Linked DNA regions of Anolis sagrei. The protein of the gene in region 1 interacts with the protein of each later gene in a pairwise test. Links are inferred from orthologs where the notes say so. Each region holds a gene or a part of one and is shown in the gene's direction. Other genes may lie near its edges.

The links. The genes of interacting proteins can lie anywhere in the genome.
Region 2: the proteins of KAT5 (region 1) and DNAAF6 interact in binary tests that used the Homo sapiens proteins (3 or more experiments, as listed by UniProt). The two-hybrid records come from large-scale screens. The link is inferred for Anolis sagrei from reciprocal best matches to the Homo sapiens genes KAT5 and DNAAF6.

Annotation. Positions count from the first base shown.
Region 1 is NC_090032.1:9,830,604-9,837,486, forward strand, and holds the start of KAT5 (histone acetyltransferase KAT5), read left to right. Parts: upstream 1-3,871; 5' UTR 3,872-3,970; coding exon 3,971-3,982; intron 3,983-4,077; coding exon 4,078-4,144; intron 4,145-6,883. Other genes in the region: RELA (transcription factor p65), read right to left, coding at 3,443-3,497. UniProt on the Homo sapiens protein: Catalytic subunit of the NuA4 histone acetyltransferase complex, a multiprotein complex involved in transcriptional activation of select genes principally by acetylation of nucleosomal histones H2A and H4.
Region 2 is NC_090030.1:19,941,977-19,949,885, forward strand, and holds the start of DNAAF6 (dynein axonemal assembly factor 6), read left to right. Parts: upstream 1-4,894; 5' UTR 4,895-4,918; coding exon 4,919-5,096; intron 5,097-7,909. UniProt on the Homo sapiens protein: Plays a role in cytoplasmic pre-assembly of axonemal dynein.

The DNA of each region.
Region 1 (6,883 bases):
ACCAAATCTAAAGTTGACCAAAAACTGATTCGTAACCCTTTTGGTACTAATGTTGGAGAGCGGTCCCTGGTCAAAGTATTCCCTGGTCAACAAAATAAAATAAAATAAGGGAAAAAGCATAGTATGTTTTTTGGGCTATATGACCATGTTCTAGAAGCATTCTCTCCTGATGTTTCGCCTGCATCTATGGCAAGCAACCTCAAAGGTTGTGTAAGGTCTGTTGGAAACTAGGCAAACAAAGTTTATATATCTGTGGAACGATGTCCAGGGTGGGAGAAAGAACTCCCACATGAATCAATTCCAGAAAGGAAACAATCACGGCCAGCTAACACCTCTTAAGAAAAGATTCCCCCAGGCAGGAAGCAGCCAGGCTTTGAAGCTACAAGGCCATTCAATGCTAAACAAGGTGGGCAATTGCAACATTCACACTTGCCTCAAAAAGGCAAGAGTTACAGGTTGCTGTGAGTTTTCCCAGCTGCCTGGCCATGTTCTAGAAGCATTCTCTCCTGATGTTTTGCCTGCATCTATCGCAAGCATCCTCAAAGGTTGTAAAGCCTGTTGGAAACTAGGCAAGTGGGGTTTATATATCTGTGGAATGATGTCCAGGGTGGGAGAAAGAACTCCCACATGAAACATGAAACAATTCCAGACAGGAAACAATCAAGGCCAGCTAACACCTCGTAAGAAAGCATTCACAATCATAAAAATTGGCTATGATGATGGATTCTGGAGGTTTGCAAGCAGAGGTTGGATGACCATTTATTGAGAAGGCTTTTTATGGTATCTTGGTTGGAAAGGGTTGGATTGGATGGTAATTTTGATGATGTTTATGTTTTGGTGTTATAAACAACAAACAACATCATCAAAATTACATAGACAAAGAAAAAAGTATATACAATAAAGGGGTTGCTTTCAAGTCTATGAATCAATAATCATAATCACAATCATAAAAATTGGCTATGATGATGGAGTCTGGAGGTTTGCAAGCAGAGGTTGGATGACCATCTATCGGGAGGGCTTTTTATGTATGGTATCTTGGTTGGAAAGGGTTGGATTGGATGGCAATAGAGGGGGTCGCTTTCAATTCTGTAAATCAATAAAAATAATAATCATGATCATCATCTTCATCAGCGATGATGATGGAGTCTTCTTCTCTGGAGGCTTATATGCAGAGGCTGGATGGCCATCTATCAGGAGGGCTTTGATTGTGTCTTTCATTATGGCAGAAGGGGGCTGGAATGGCAGGTCTTTGGGGTTCTCCAGTGGAATATGAATTGCCTTGGAGACTGGTGGCATCTCCTCAATATTTTTTAAAGCAGAGGCTGGATAGCTGTCTGTCAGGAGGGCTTTGATGGTGTCTCTATGGCAGAAAGGGACAGGAATGGATGGCCTTTGGGGTTCTCCAGTGGAATATAAACTGCCTTGGAGATAGGCGGAGCCTCCTTCTCTTGAAGTATGTTTGAAGCAGAGGTTGGATGGCAGTCTGTCGGGAGGGCTTCGATGGTGTCTTTCTTTACGGCAGAAGGAGGCTGGACTGGGTGACCTTTGGGGTTGTCCAGTGGAGTATGGGCTGCCTTGGAGACTGGTGAAGTCTCCTTCCCAAAGTTTTTTAAAGCAGAGGCTGGATGGCCATCTGCTGGGAGGGCTTTAATGGTATCTTTGCAGAAGGGGTTGGACAGAATGGTCCTCTTCTCTAGAAGTTTTTAAAAGTAGAAGCTGGATGGCCATCTTTCAAGGGGCTTTGATGGTGTTTTTCTGGCAGAAGGGGACAGGACTGGATGGCCTTTGGGGTTCTCCAGTGGAATATAAACTGTCTTGGAGACTGGTGGAGTCTACTTCCCAAAGTTTTTTTAAAGCAGAGGCTGGATGGCCATCTGTCGGGAGGGCTTTGATGGTGTCTTGGCAGAGGGGTTGAACTGGATGGTCCCCTTCTCTAAAAGTTTTTTTAAAGCAAAGGCTGGACATCCAACTGTCGGAAGGGCTTTAATTGTGTCTTAATGGCAGAAGGGGGCCAGAGACTGGTGGAGTCTCCTTCTCCGGAGGTTTTTCAAAGCAGAGGCTGGACGTCCATCTGTCGGGAGGGCTTTAATTGTGTCTTAATGACAGAAGGGGGCCAGGGACTGGTGGAGTCTCCTTCTCCTGAGGTTTTTCAAAGCAGAGGCTGGACGTCCATCTGTCGGGAGGGCTTTAATTGTGTCTTAATGGCAGAAGGGGGCCAGGGACTGGTGGAGTCTCCTTCTCCGGAGGTTTTTCAAAGCAGAGGCTGGACGTCCATCTGTCGGGAGGGCTTTAATTGTGTCTTAATGGCAGAAGGGGGCCAGAGACTGGTGGAGTCTCCTTCTCCTGAGGTTTTTCAAAGCAGAGGCTGGACGTCCATCTGTCGGGAGGGCTTTAATTGTGTCCTTATAGCAGAAGGAGGATAGAGACTGGTGGAGTCTCCTTCTCCTGAGGTTTTTTAAAACAAAGGCTGGACGTCCATCTGTCGGGAGGGCTTTAATTGTGTCTTAATGGCAGAAGGAGGCTACAGACGGGTGGAGTCTCCTTCTCCTGAGGTTTTTCAAAGCAGAGGCTGGATGGCCATCTGTTGGGAGGGCTTTAATTGTGTCTTAATGGCAGAAGGAGGCTACAGACGGGTGGAGTCTCCTTCTCCTGAGGTTTTTCAAAGCAGAGGCTGGACGTCCATCTGTCGGGAGGGCTTTAATTGTGTCCTTATAGCAGAAGGAGGCTAGAGACAGATGGAGTCTCCTTCTCCTGAGATTTTTTTAAAACAGAGGCTGGACGGCCATCTCTCGGGAGGGCTTTAATTGTGTCTTAATGGCAGAAGGAGGCCACAGATTGGTGGAGTCTCCTTCTCCTGAGGTTTTTAAAAGCAGAGGCTGGACCTCCATCTGTCGGGAGGGCTTTAATTGTGTCTTTATGGCAGAAGGGGTTTGGACTTGATGGCCCCCTTCTCTGGAAGGTTTTTCAAAGTAGAGGCTGGACGTCCATCTGTCGGGAGGGCTTTAATTGTGTCCTTATGGCAGAAGGAGGCTAGAGACGGGTGAACTCTCCTCCTGAGGTTTTTTAAAACAGAGGCTGGACGTCCATCTGTCGGGAGGGCTTTGATGGTGTCTTTATGGCAGAAAGAGGTAGAGACTGAGATTTTTAAGAAAGAGGCTGGACGGCCATCTGTCGGGAGGGCTTTGATGGTGTCTTGGCAGAAAGGGGTTGGACTTGATGGTCCCCTTCTAAGGAAGGTTTTTCAAAGCAGAGGCTGGATGGCCATCTGTCTTTATGGCAGAAGGAGGCCAGAGACTGATGGAGTCTCCTTCTCCTGAGGTTTTTTGAAATAGAGGCTGGATGTCCATCTGTCTGGAGGGCTTTGGTGGTGCCTTTATGTCAGAAGGGAGCCTTTGGAGCCCCCTCCCCTGAGCCTAGAGGAGGAGAGGAGCCCCCTACTCACCGTCCATGGTTGTGCTGCTGAACCCGCCCTGCATCTGGGCGAGGGGGTCCCCCATGGCCCGGGGGAGGAGGCCCGAGGAGCGAAGGCGGGCCTGAAGGCCTTCCCGAGCGGCGGCGAAGTCAGCCCACCCTCCCTCCCGCGGGGCCGCAGAGCTCTTCCGGGTCGGGGCCTGGGCCTAGCCGAAGCCTGGGGCTCGCCTGCCTGCCTGCCCGCCGGGAGCCGGAAGCCTGAGGGAGGCGTCGCGGGGCGGAATGGCTCCGTCCGAAGTGCTGCTGGGAAGGCCCCGCCCACTTCCCCCTGTCGCCGCCGCCTTTGGGTCTCTCTCTCTCGCCCCGCCCCCTTTATGCAAATCTGGAACCAAAAGGGGGCGGGACTTATGCAAACCCGGAAAGGGCGCGAGGGAGAAGTAGGAACCTAGAAGAACAACAACAAAGAAAATGGCGCCTGGCGGAAGTGGATTCTCTCCTCCCGGAAGTAGTTCCCGTCGATGCCGGAAAAGAAGGCCCTGACGAACGGCGAGGGTCCAAGATGGCGGAGGTGGTAAGTGAGGAAACCAGAAGGGATTTTTTGGAAAGGGAAAGGGAAGGGGAAAACGGTGGGAAACGCTGCCGGCTCCACATGGGTCTCCGTTGCAGGAGGAAGTCACCGAGGGCTGCCGCCTGCCCGTGCTGCGCCGGAACCAGGACAACGAGGACGAGTGGCGTGAGTGAGGGGCGGGGCTACAAGGCGGTGGGCGGGGCCAAGGGGTGTGATTGACGGGTTGGTTCCAGAGGTGAATAGCGGCGCCCATCTCGTTGGCGGGACTATAAAGTGGTGGGCGGGGCCAAGGGGTTGTGATTGACGGGTTGGTTCCTGAGGTGAATAGCGGCGCCCATCTCGTGGGCGGGGCTACGAGGCGGTGGGCGGGGCCAAGGGGGTGTGATTGACGGGTTGGTTCCTGAGGTGAATAGCGGCGCCCATCTCGTGGGCGGGACTATAAAGCGGTGGGCGGGGCCAAGGGGGTGTGATTGACGGGTTGCTTCCTGAGGTGAACAGCAGCGCCCATCCCGTGGGCGGGGCTACGAGGCGGTGGGCGGGGCCAAGGGGGTGTGATTGACGGGTTGGTTCCTGAGGTGAATAGCGGCGCCCATCTTGTGGGCGGGGCTACAATGCGGTGGGCGGGGCCAAGGGGTGTGATTGACGGGTTGGCTCCAGAGTTGAACAGCGGCGCCCATCTCGTGGGCGGGGCTACAAGGTGGTGGGCGGGGCCAAGGGGGTGATTGACGGGTTGGTTCCAGAGGTGAATAGCGGCGCCCATCCCGTGGGCGGGGCTACAAGGCGGTGGGCGGGGCCAATGGGGTGTGATTGACGGGTTGGTTCCAGAGGTGAGCAGCGGCGCCCATCTCGTGGGCGGGCCTACAAGGCGAGGGGCGGGGCCAAAGGGCGTGATTGACGGGTCGGCTCCAGAGGTGAGCCGCGGCGCCCATCTCGTGGGCGGGGCTACAAGGCGAGGGGCGGGGCCAAAGGGTGTGATTGACGGGCTGGCTCCAGAGGTGAAAAGCGACGCCCATTCCGTGGGCGGGGTTACAAGGCGGTGGGCGGGGCCAAGGGGGTGATTGATGGATGGGTTCCAGAGGTGAGCAGCGGCGCCCATCCCTTGAGCTGGCCAATCCCATTGGCATCCAGGATGGTCTGTCAGCAGGGAGTCCTGGCGCTGGGATCTGAATCCCTCCCAGGCGGATGGCTATTGTGTCCCTGAGAGTAAGTATGGTCTAAGGATATACACCCAGTCCATCACAACAATAGAAAAAAAATATAAAATGAAATAATAAATAAAATAATAACATAATATAGGATAAAACCATAAAATACAATAGTAAATAAAATAATTCTATAATATAATATATAAAACAATAAAATACAATAGTAAATAAAATAATTCTATAATATAATATATAAAAAATACAATACAACGGTAAATAAAATAATTCTATAATATAATAAATAAAATTATAATAGAATAAAATAAGTAAATTTATAATTTATAATTTTTATTATTATTATTATTATTTGCTTTATTTCTATACCGTATTTTTCAGCCCTTAACAGGCGACTCAATAGAATAGAATACAATAATAAATAAAATGTTAAAATGATTATTTTAATAAGTATAAAATAATCATAAATAAAATAGAAAATAAAATAATAAACGAAATGATTATTTCAGAATGTAATATACGATCAATAAAGTAATAAAATATTAATTAAAATAATTATAATCTAATAAATAAAATAATAAATAAAATAAATAAAATAAAAGAATAATAGTATATAAATATATATAATATAAATATAATATAAAAGAATAATATAATACATAAAGATAAAATACAATAGTAAATGAAATAATTTTATAACATACTAAATAAAATGATAATATAATAAAATAAGTAAATTTATAAAAGAATACTATAATAAATATAATATTAAAATAATTATGGGTTTTAATAAATATAAAATAATCATAAAATAAAAAATGAAATAATTATTTTATAGTGTAGTATATGATAAATAAAGTAATAAAATACTAATTAAAATAATTCTATAATATAATAAATAAATACAATAGTAAATATAATAATAAAATAATAGTAAATAAAACAATAATGTATAATATAATGTAATATAATCAATAAAACAATAAATACGATAGTAAATAAAGTAATTATATAATATAATAAATAAAACTATAATATAATAGAATAAGTAAATCTATAAGAATGCAATAATAATAAAGTAAAATATTAAAATAATTATGTATTTTAATAAATATCGAATAATAAATAAAATAATATATAATATAATAATAGTATAATATATTATAATACTATAATATAATAATAGTAAGTAAAACAATAATATAATGTAATCAATTAAACAATAAAATACAACATTAAACAAAATAATTCTATAATATAATAAAATTAGAATAGAATAACATTATAATAGTATACAATAACAAATATAATAAAAATAAAAAAATTAAAATAATTATGTATTTTAATAAATATAAAATAGTCATAAATAAAAATAAAATAAAATAATAGTAAATAAAACAATAATGTAATATAATATAATCAATAAAACAATAAAATGCAATAGTAAATAAAATAATTATGTAATATAATAAATAAAATTATAATATAGAATAAGTAAATTTATAATAGAATATACAATAATAAATATAATAATAAATAAAATAAAATAATAAATAAAATAATAATATAATGTAATATAATCAATAAAACAATAATAAAATAAAATAGTAAATAAAATATATAATACAGTAATTATAGTAATATATTTGCTATAAATAAAATAGTATATAAAATATATAATACAGTAAATATAGTAATAGTATAATTACTGTATTATATATTTATAATACAATAGAAGGGTGGT
Region 2 (7,909 bases), on another chromosome or scaffold:
AAAAACACAGTGCTACCTTTGCAAAGTATACATAATACAGTGAAAGTAACACAGGTGTCCATAAAAGTCTCTTTACCATATCAATTGGAGCCCCCAGTGGTGCAGTGGGTTAAACCCTTGTGCCAGCAAGACTGCTGACTAAAAAGTCAGCAGTTCAAATCTGAGGAGCATGGTGAGCTCCTGTCTGTCAGTGCCTGCTTCTCATGCAGGGACGTAAGAGAAACCTCCCACAGGATGGTAAAACATCCGGGCATCCCTTGGACAACATCCTTGCAGATGGCCAATTCCCTCACACCAGAAGCGACTTGCGTTTCTCAAGTCGCTCTTGACACACACAAAAACCAACATTTCACTCATTTATTTATTTATTTATTTGCGGCATTTATATGCCACCCTTCTCACCCTGATGGGGACTCAGAGCAGCTTACAAATAAAAAGTAAATACAATATATTATTATTATCATAGCACAATATTAATATTATATATTACATTGTACTATAACATTATACTGTAATATTATTAGTAATATTACATTTAATATAAAATATTTAATTATAATATCATTTTATTATTAGTAGTAGTAGTAGTATATTGTATTACATTATAATATTATAAATATTATATTATATTATATTATATTATATTATATTATATTATATTATATTATATTATATTATATGCACAGTGCAGGAGACAAGATGGAACTGCCTTCCTGGCCCCTCTCTTCATTCTGATCTCAGAGTAGCAGTTGGTGCTGGGGGGCTCCCAACTGATGATATTACTTATAATTATTATTATTAACTTTATTTGTACCCCACTAGCATCTCCCGAAGGACTCGATGCGGCTTACAAAGGCCAAGGCCTCAAAACATAGCATAGCAAATACACAACTCAAAGCAAATCAAAACAATTAAAGCAATATCAAAAACAACAGAGCAATAAAACAATACATCAAAACACAATAAAACTGGGGCCGGGCCAAAAGTAATGGGTACAGATTAAAAGTGCTGATGTGACAGGTGGCTTGTCAGATTTTAAAATAAGTGCAGTGTGCAAGCACTGCACTTATAATCACTTCACAATTACTTATCGTGTCAAAAGCAAATTGTGGAGAGAGTTATAATGTATAAAATACCACAATGTTAAAAACGTGGCATTGTACTAAATTTCCTTTGACTAGAAGCTGACCACTTGGAGTGCCTTTATATATTTATTATACTTATTTACGGCATTTATATGCCGCCCCCTCCCCCCGAAAGGGACTCAGAGCGTCTTACAATATATATTTTCATACAATATATTATATTATTAGCATAGTACAATATCAGTATTATATATTACTATATTGCACTATACCATTATATTGTAATATTAGTAGTAATATTACATGTAATGTAAATATATAATTCTAATTATAATATTGTATTATTATTACTAGTATTGTATTGTATTACATTATAATATTACAAATATTATATGTATATACAATATGCTATATTATATTTTGGTGTTGCTGTCGTCCATTGTGCATGTGGTGGGGCTCAGACTGCATTGTTGTCAGTGGTCTGTGGTCTGCTCCTCTCTACACTCGCATGTCGTGGACTCCACTTGATACTCCCATTTCTTTTAAGTTCCATTAAGTACATGTCTGCTTTAAAGGGGATTATATGAGTCTGCACTGCCAGATAATCTGGGATAAGCAGGAAGCCTGGGCTCAGATCCTGGAAAATAGGGCCTGTATGGAAGCCTAAACAGGGGGTGGACTAGATGGCCCACGTGGTCTCTCTCTCCAACTCTATTATTCAATTATTCTAAGTTTGGTTTGTCCACATTGTCTTTTAACTCCTGTATCTTAATATGTATATCAAGTCAAGAAGGCTTTAAGGTGTAGCGTATTATGGTTCAGGTCCAGGCTATTAACTAATCGTATCTCCACATGTGAACCAACACAGGCACTGTGGTCCCAACTGTTTCAAGCACAACTTGGTGTGGATGAGAGAGAGGACCTTCTCCATGACCACACCCTCCCTCTGGAACTCCCTCTCACTCCTCTCCTTTAAGAAGCAATTAAAAACATACTTTTACACATTGTCCTTTGGAGAGGAAGATGATTAGCTTTTATTGCTTTTATCATGCCTCACGATGCTGACAAAGATTATATTACCTTATTAGAGAGCCATGTTCTCAAATGTATCTATTTTTATATTTTTATACCTATTTTATCAGACTATTGTGTTATCTATGAGGTTGATCGACTACATGTTTTGATCTAGATTGTTTTATTGGCTTATTTTTAAACTGTTTGTTTCTGTTTTATCTCTATTTCTATCACTGCACATGGCATTGAACGTTTGCCATCTTTGTCTTTGGAAGATGAGTAGAGTCCCCTCGGGGAGAAAGGGCAGGTTAAAAATAAAGTATTATTATTGTGTTGTCGAAGGCTTTCATGGCTGGAATCAATGGGTTACTATGGGTTTCTTGGGCTGTATGGCCATGTTCCTGAAGCATTCTCTCCTGATGTTTCACCCACATCTATGGCAGGCATCCTCAGAGGTTGAGGTGTCTGTTGGAAACCTGGCAAGTGCAGATTATATATCTGTGGAATGTCCAGGGTGGGAGAAAGAACTCTGGGTCCCCAAAAGGCCTGATGGCCAAGGTGCTGAACCCACTGGAGAAACTGGGATCAGCCCAGTTTCTCCAATACCAAGTTCCCACAAAGTAAACCCAAAGTTGATGTGCAGCTCATGGATGGCCCCCTTCTGTTGGAGAGAGAGCTACCTTTGCAAGCTGAACCCTCTGGTGGTTGTTGCTGAGAGCTGACTTCCTGTTTCCATGTTTGTTTACACCCTCCTCTTCCTGGGCCCTGAATACACTCCTGTTATTCTCTCTGTGTCTGCACAGTGTTTGGCCCACTTGACCTTTCCTTTCTGACAATTTGCCATTGAGGAAATAGGATGGGAAAGTGGCAGTACTTCGTGCCTCCTTGGAACTGTGGAGAAATCTATTTCTCTTTCACTTACCTTAAGAAGCTGAACCTGAGTGAGATTATGCATAAACTGTGAGCAAACAGCTTTTAAAACTGGGTTGCTGTGAGTTTTCTGGGCTGTATGGCCATATTCCAGAAGCATTTTCTCCTGATGTTTCACCCACATCTATGGCAGGCATCCTCAGATATTGACAAGCTGGAATGTGTCCAGAGGAGGGCAACTAAAATGTTCAAGTGTCTGGAGAACAAGCCCTATGAGGAGCAGCTTAAAGAGTTTTGCATGTTTAGCCTGAAGAAGAGAAGGCTTAGAGGAGACATGATAGCCATGTATAAATACGCAAGAGGAAGTCATAGGGAGGAGGGAGCAAGCTTGTTTTCTGCTGCCCTGGAGACTAGGATGCGGAACAATGGCTTCAAACTACAAGAAAGGAGATTCCATCTGAACATTAGGAAGAACTTCCTGACTGTGAGAGCTGTTCAGCAGTGGAACTCTCTGCCCTGGAGTGTGGTAGAGGCTCCTTCCTTGGAAGCTTTTAAACAGAGGCTGGATGGTCATCTGTCGGGGGTGCTTTGAATGCAATTTTCCTGCTTCTTGGGAGAATGGGATTGGACTGGATGGCCCATGAGGTCTCTTCCAACTCTAGGATTCTAAGGTCTGTTGGAACTAGGAAAATGGGGTTATCTGTGGAATAATGTCCAGGGTGGGAGAAAGAACTCTTGTCTGTTTAAGACAAGTGTGCATGTTGCAACTGGCCAGCCTGATTAGCACTGAATGGCCTTGCAGTTTCAAAGCCTGGTTGCTTCCTGCTTGGGGGATCCTTTGTTGGGAGGTGTTAGCTGGCCCCGATTGATCCTGACTGTGAGAGCCATTCAGCAGTGGAACTCTCTGCCCTGGAGTGTGGCGGAGGCTCCTTCTTTGGAAGCTTTTAACTAGAGGCTGGATGGCCATCTCTCAGGGGTGATTTGAATGAAATTTTCCTGCTTCTTGGCAGGGAGTTGGACTGGATGGCCCATGAGGTCTCTTCCAACTCTTTAATTCTGTTATTCCTGTCTGGAATTCCTGTTTTCAGGGTGCTGTTCTTTATTTACTGTCCTGATTTTAGAACTTTTTCAATACTGGTAGCCAGATTTTGTTCATTTTCATGATTCCTTCCTTTCTGTTGAAACTGTCCACATGAATTTGGATTTCTATGGCTTCTCTATATATTCTGATATGGTAGTTAGTAGAGTGTTCCAGCATTTCTGTGTTCTCAAATAATATGCTGTGTCCAGGTTGGTTCATCAGGTGCTCTGCTATGGCTGACTTCTCTGGTTGAATTAGTCTGAATTAATAATAATAATATGGGCATGGCCGGGTAAAATGTATAGGTATTTTGGCGAATAGGTAGGGCATGCGGACAGACCTAAATCTCCAGTAAAGTGGATTTGGGACAAAGTGCTTGTGGTTTCCTATTCTGGAAAGGCACACTGGAACAACCACGTTTTCAAGCTCCTCCTAAAGACTGCTAACATCAGGGCCTGCCTGATATCCTTGGGGAGTGAGTTCCAGAGTCGAGGGGCCACCACAGAGAAGTCCCTGTCCCTTGTCCCCACCAATTAGTATTATTATATACCACGGGGTATAGAACTAGGCCTCTTTTTAAGAACCACTCTCAAGCAAAGAGAGGCTACATTTTTCCGGCATCATCCCGCGGGCCAGGGGATGATGGGAGTGGCGATGCGTCAAAAAGGCCCCGCCGGGTCCAGACTCACCTGCGATGCTTCTCTCTTCCTTCGCGCGAATCTGTGACGCACTCCTTCCGCGCCTACGCGCTGAGAGTGGGCGGGGCGGAGATAAGCCGGGCGGCGATTGGGCGGCGCTGCGGCCAATGAGAGGAGCGGGGTGGTTACCATGGCGACGCCGAGACGCGGAAGCAGAGCTGGGAGCCGCCATGGCTGCAGTGGAGCCGGAGCTAAACATTGGGGAAGGTTTGCTGGCGCTGGCCACGTTGCTCTCTGCCCCACCGGAGGGTCCCCAGGAGGAGGAGGAGGGGGAGGCCTCTTCCTCGCCGGGAAGGAGCCTGGGTCCCGGGCACATTGGGGCCCCAAAGGCGGAGGTGGGGCCCACAGGTGAGTTCCTCAGGGCTAGGCCATCATTCAAGCCGATCCCTAGCAGAAATCACGAATACAGGCAGTCCCCGAGTTACAGACATCTGACTTGCAAATGACTCATAGTTCAGGACGGGGTAACACAACAGAAATGGGAAGAAATGTATTCCTAGGAAGGGAAATTTATTTATTTATTTATTTCATTGGTATACCGCAGTTTCTCAGCCCGTAGGCGACTCAACGCGGTTAACAACAGGAGCAAAAATTCAATGCAACATCATACAAACCATTTAAAAACAATTAACACAATAATATACTAAGTAATCACACACTCATGAAATAGTTTATTTACTTACTTATTTACTTACGACATTTATATGCCGCCCTTCTTACCCCGAAGGGGACTCAGAGCGGCTTACAAGATATATATTGTCCCACCCTGGTCATTCCACAGATATATAAAGCCTTTTTCCTACTTCCAACAGACCTCACTACCTCTGAGGACCAGAACACAACAAGTAACTTGAAATGGTGTTTATTGTTGACAATAAGTTCACTTTCCTAGGCACAAACTTGATGTTTCAACAGGGAAAATCACTTTATAAACCTAGGAGTTGTAAGATGAGAAGCTTTTCCTGTTCCCTCTCTCAAACCACAACCCCAGTTCAGTGGCCTAAGTTGAAGGACAAGACCTTCCTATGGTACCAAAGAACCGGAATGAAGGCGCCTGAGATCTTCACAATTCCATTCAGGGCGGTCTGAAAACAAAGAATAAGACTCTGGGGTAAAAACCTAAGAGTTGAGGATGCTTGCCATAGATGCAGGCGAAACAGCAGGAGAGAATGCCTTTAGACCATGGCCATATAGCCCGAAAAAACCTACAACAACCCAGTGATTCTGGGCACTAAAGCCTTCGACAATACAATCTGTTGTTGTTCATTTGTTCAGTCGTTTCCGACTCTTTGTGACCTCATGGACCAGCCCACAACGTCACCACCCCCAGCTCCTTCAAGGTCAATCCAGTCACTTCAAGGCTACCATCCATCCATCTTGCCCTTGGTTGGCCCCTCTTCCTTTTTCCTTCCATTTTCCCCAGCATCATTGTCTTCTCTGAGGTTTCCTGTCTTCTCATTTTGTGGCCAAAGTACTTCATCTTGGCGTCAAATATCCTTCCCTCCAATGAGCAGTCAAGCTTTATTTCTTGAAGTATGGACAGGCACAATTGGTGGGGATGAGAGAGAGAGCCTTTTCGGTGGTGGCCCCTCAACTCTGGAACTCACTCCCTAAGGATATCAGGCAGGCCCCAACCCTGGCAGTTTTCAGGAGGAGCTTGAAGACGTGGTTGTTCCAGTGTGCCTTCCCGGATTAACGATCCCATAGCACTTTGTCCCTTTAAAGCACTTTACATTTTTTAGGTCTGCTCATATGTCTCTCCACAAATGCCACTATCACCTTTTCGTCCATGTTTAGCACTATTTCCAATTTTAATTTTACATTTGGCCTTCCCATAGTTTTAATTGTATGTTGTCTTATTGATAATGTTATATGTTTATGTTTTATTTTAATTGCTTGTATTGTTGTGTTCGGGCTCGGCCTCATGTAAGCCGCACCGAGTCCCTTGGGGAGATGGTAGCGGGGTACAAATAAAGTGTTATTATTAATATTATTATTATTGGATCTTCTCACTGTCCAAGGCACTCTCAGAATTTTTCTCCAGCAACAAAGTTCCAAAGCATCTGTCTTCCTTCACTCAGTCTTCCCTATGGTCCAGCTCTCACATCCATAGGTGACTATGGGGAATACCATTGCTTTAACTATGCGGATCTTCATTGCCAGTGTGATATCTCTACTCTTCACTATTTTATCGAAAATTGACATTGCTCTCCTCCCAAGAAGTAAGCGTCTCCTGATTTCCTGGCTGCAGTCTGAGTCTGCAGTTATATTTGCACCTAGAAATGCAAAGTCTGTCACTGCCTGTACATTTCCCCCCTGTATTTCCCAGTTGTCAATCATTCTTGTTGCCATAATCTTGGTTTTTTTTTTTTTTGTTTTACTGCAACTCAGCTTTTGCGCTTTCTCCTTTCACCTTGATTAGAAGGCTCCTCAGCTCCTCCTCACTTTCAGCCATCAAAGTTGTGTCATCTGCATATCTAAGGTTGTTAATGTTTCTTCCAGCAATTTTCACCCCAGCCTTGCATTCGTCAAGCCCCGCACATTGCATGATGTGTTCTGCATACAAGTTGAATAGGTTGGGTGAGAGTATACAAGCCTGCCGTATGCCTTTCCCAATCTTGAACCCGTCTGTTGTTCCATGGTCAGTTCTGACTGTTGCTACTTGGTCCTTATACAGATTCTTCAGGAGAGAGACAAGGTGATTTGGTATGCCCATACCACCAAGAACTTGCCACAATTTATTATGATCCACACAGTCAAAGGCTTTAAAATAGTCAATAAAACATAAATAGATGTTTTTCTGAAACTCCCTGCCTTTCTCCATTATCCAGTGGATATTGGCAATTTGGTCTCCTGTTCCTCTGCCTTTTCTAAACCCAGCTTGTACATCTGGCAACTCTCGCTTCATGTATTGCTGGAGTCTTCATTGCAGGGTCTTGAGCATTACCTTTCTGACAGTAGAAATAAGGGCCACTGTACGGAAGTTTGAGCATTCTTTAGCATTTCCCTTTTTTGGTATGGGGATATAAGTTGATTTTTTTCCAGTCTGATGGCCATTCTTGTGTTTTCCATATTTGCTGGCATATGGCATGCATCACCTTGACAGCATGCTCTTTCAAGATTTTAAACAGTTCAGCTGGGATCCCGTCATCTCCTGCTGC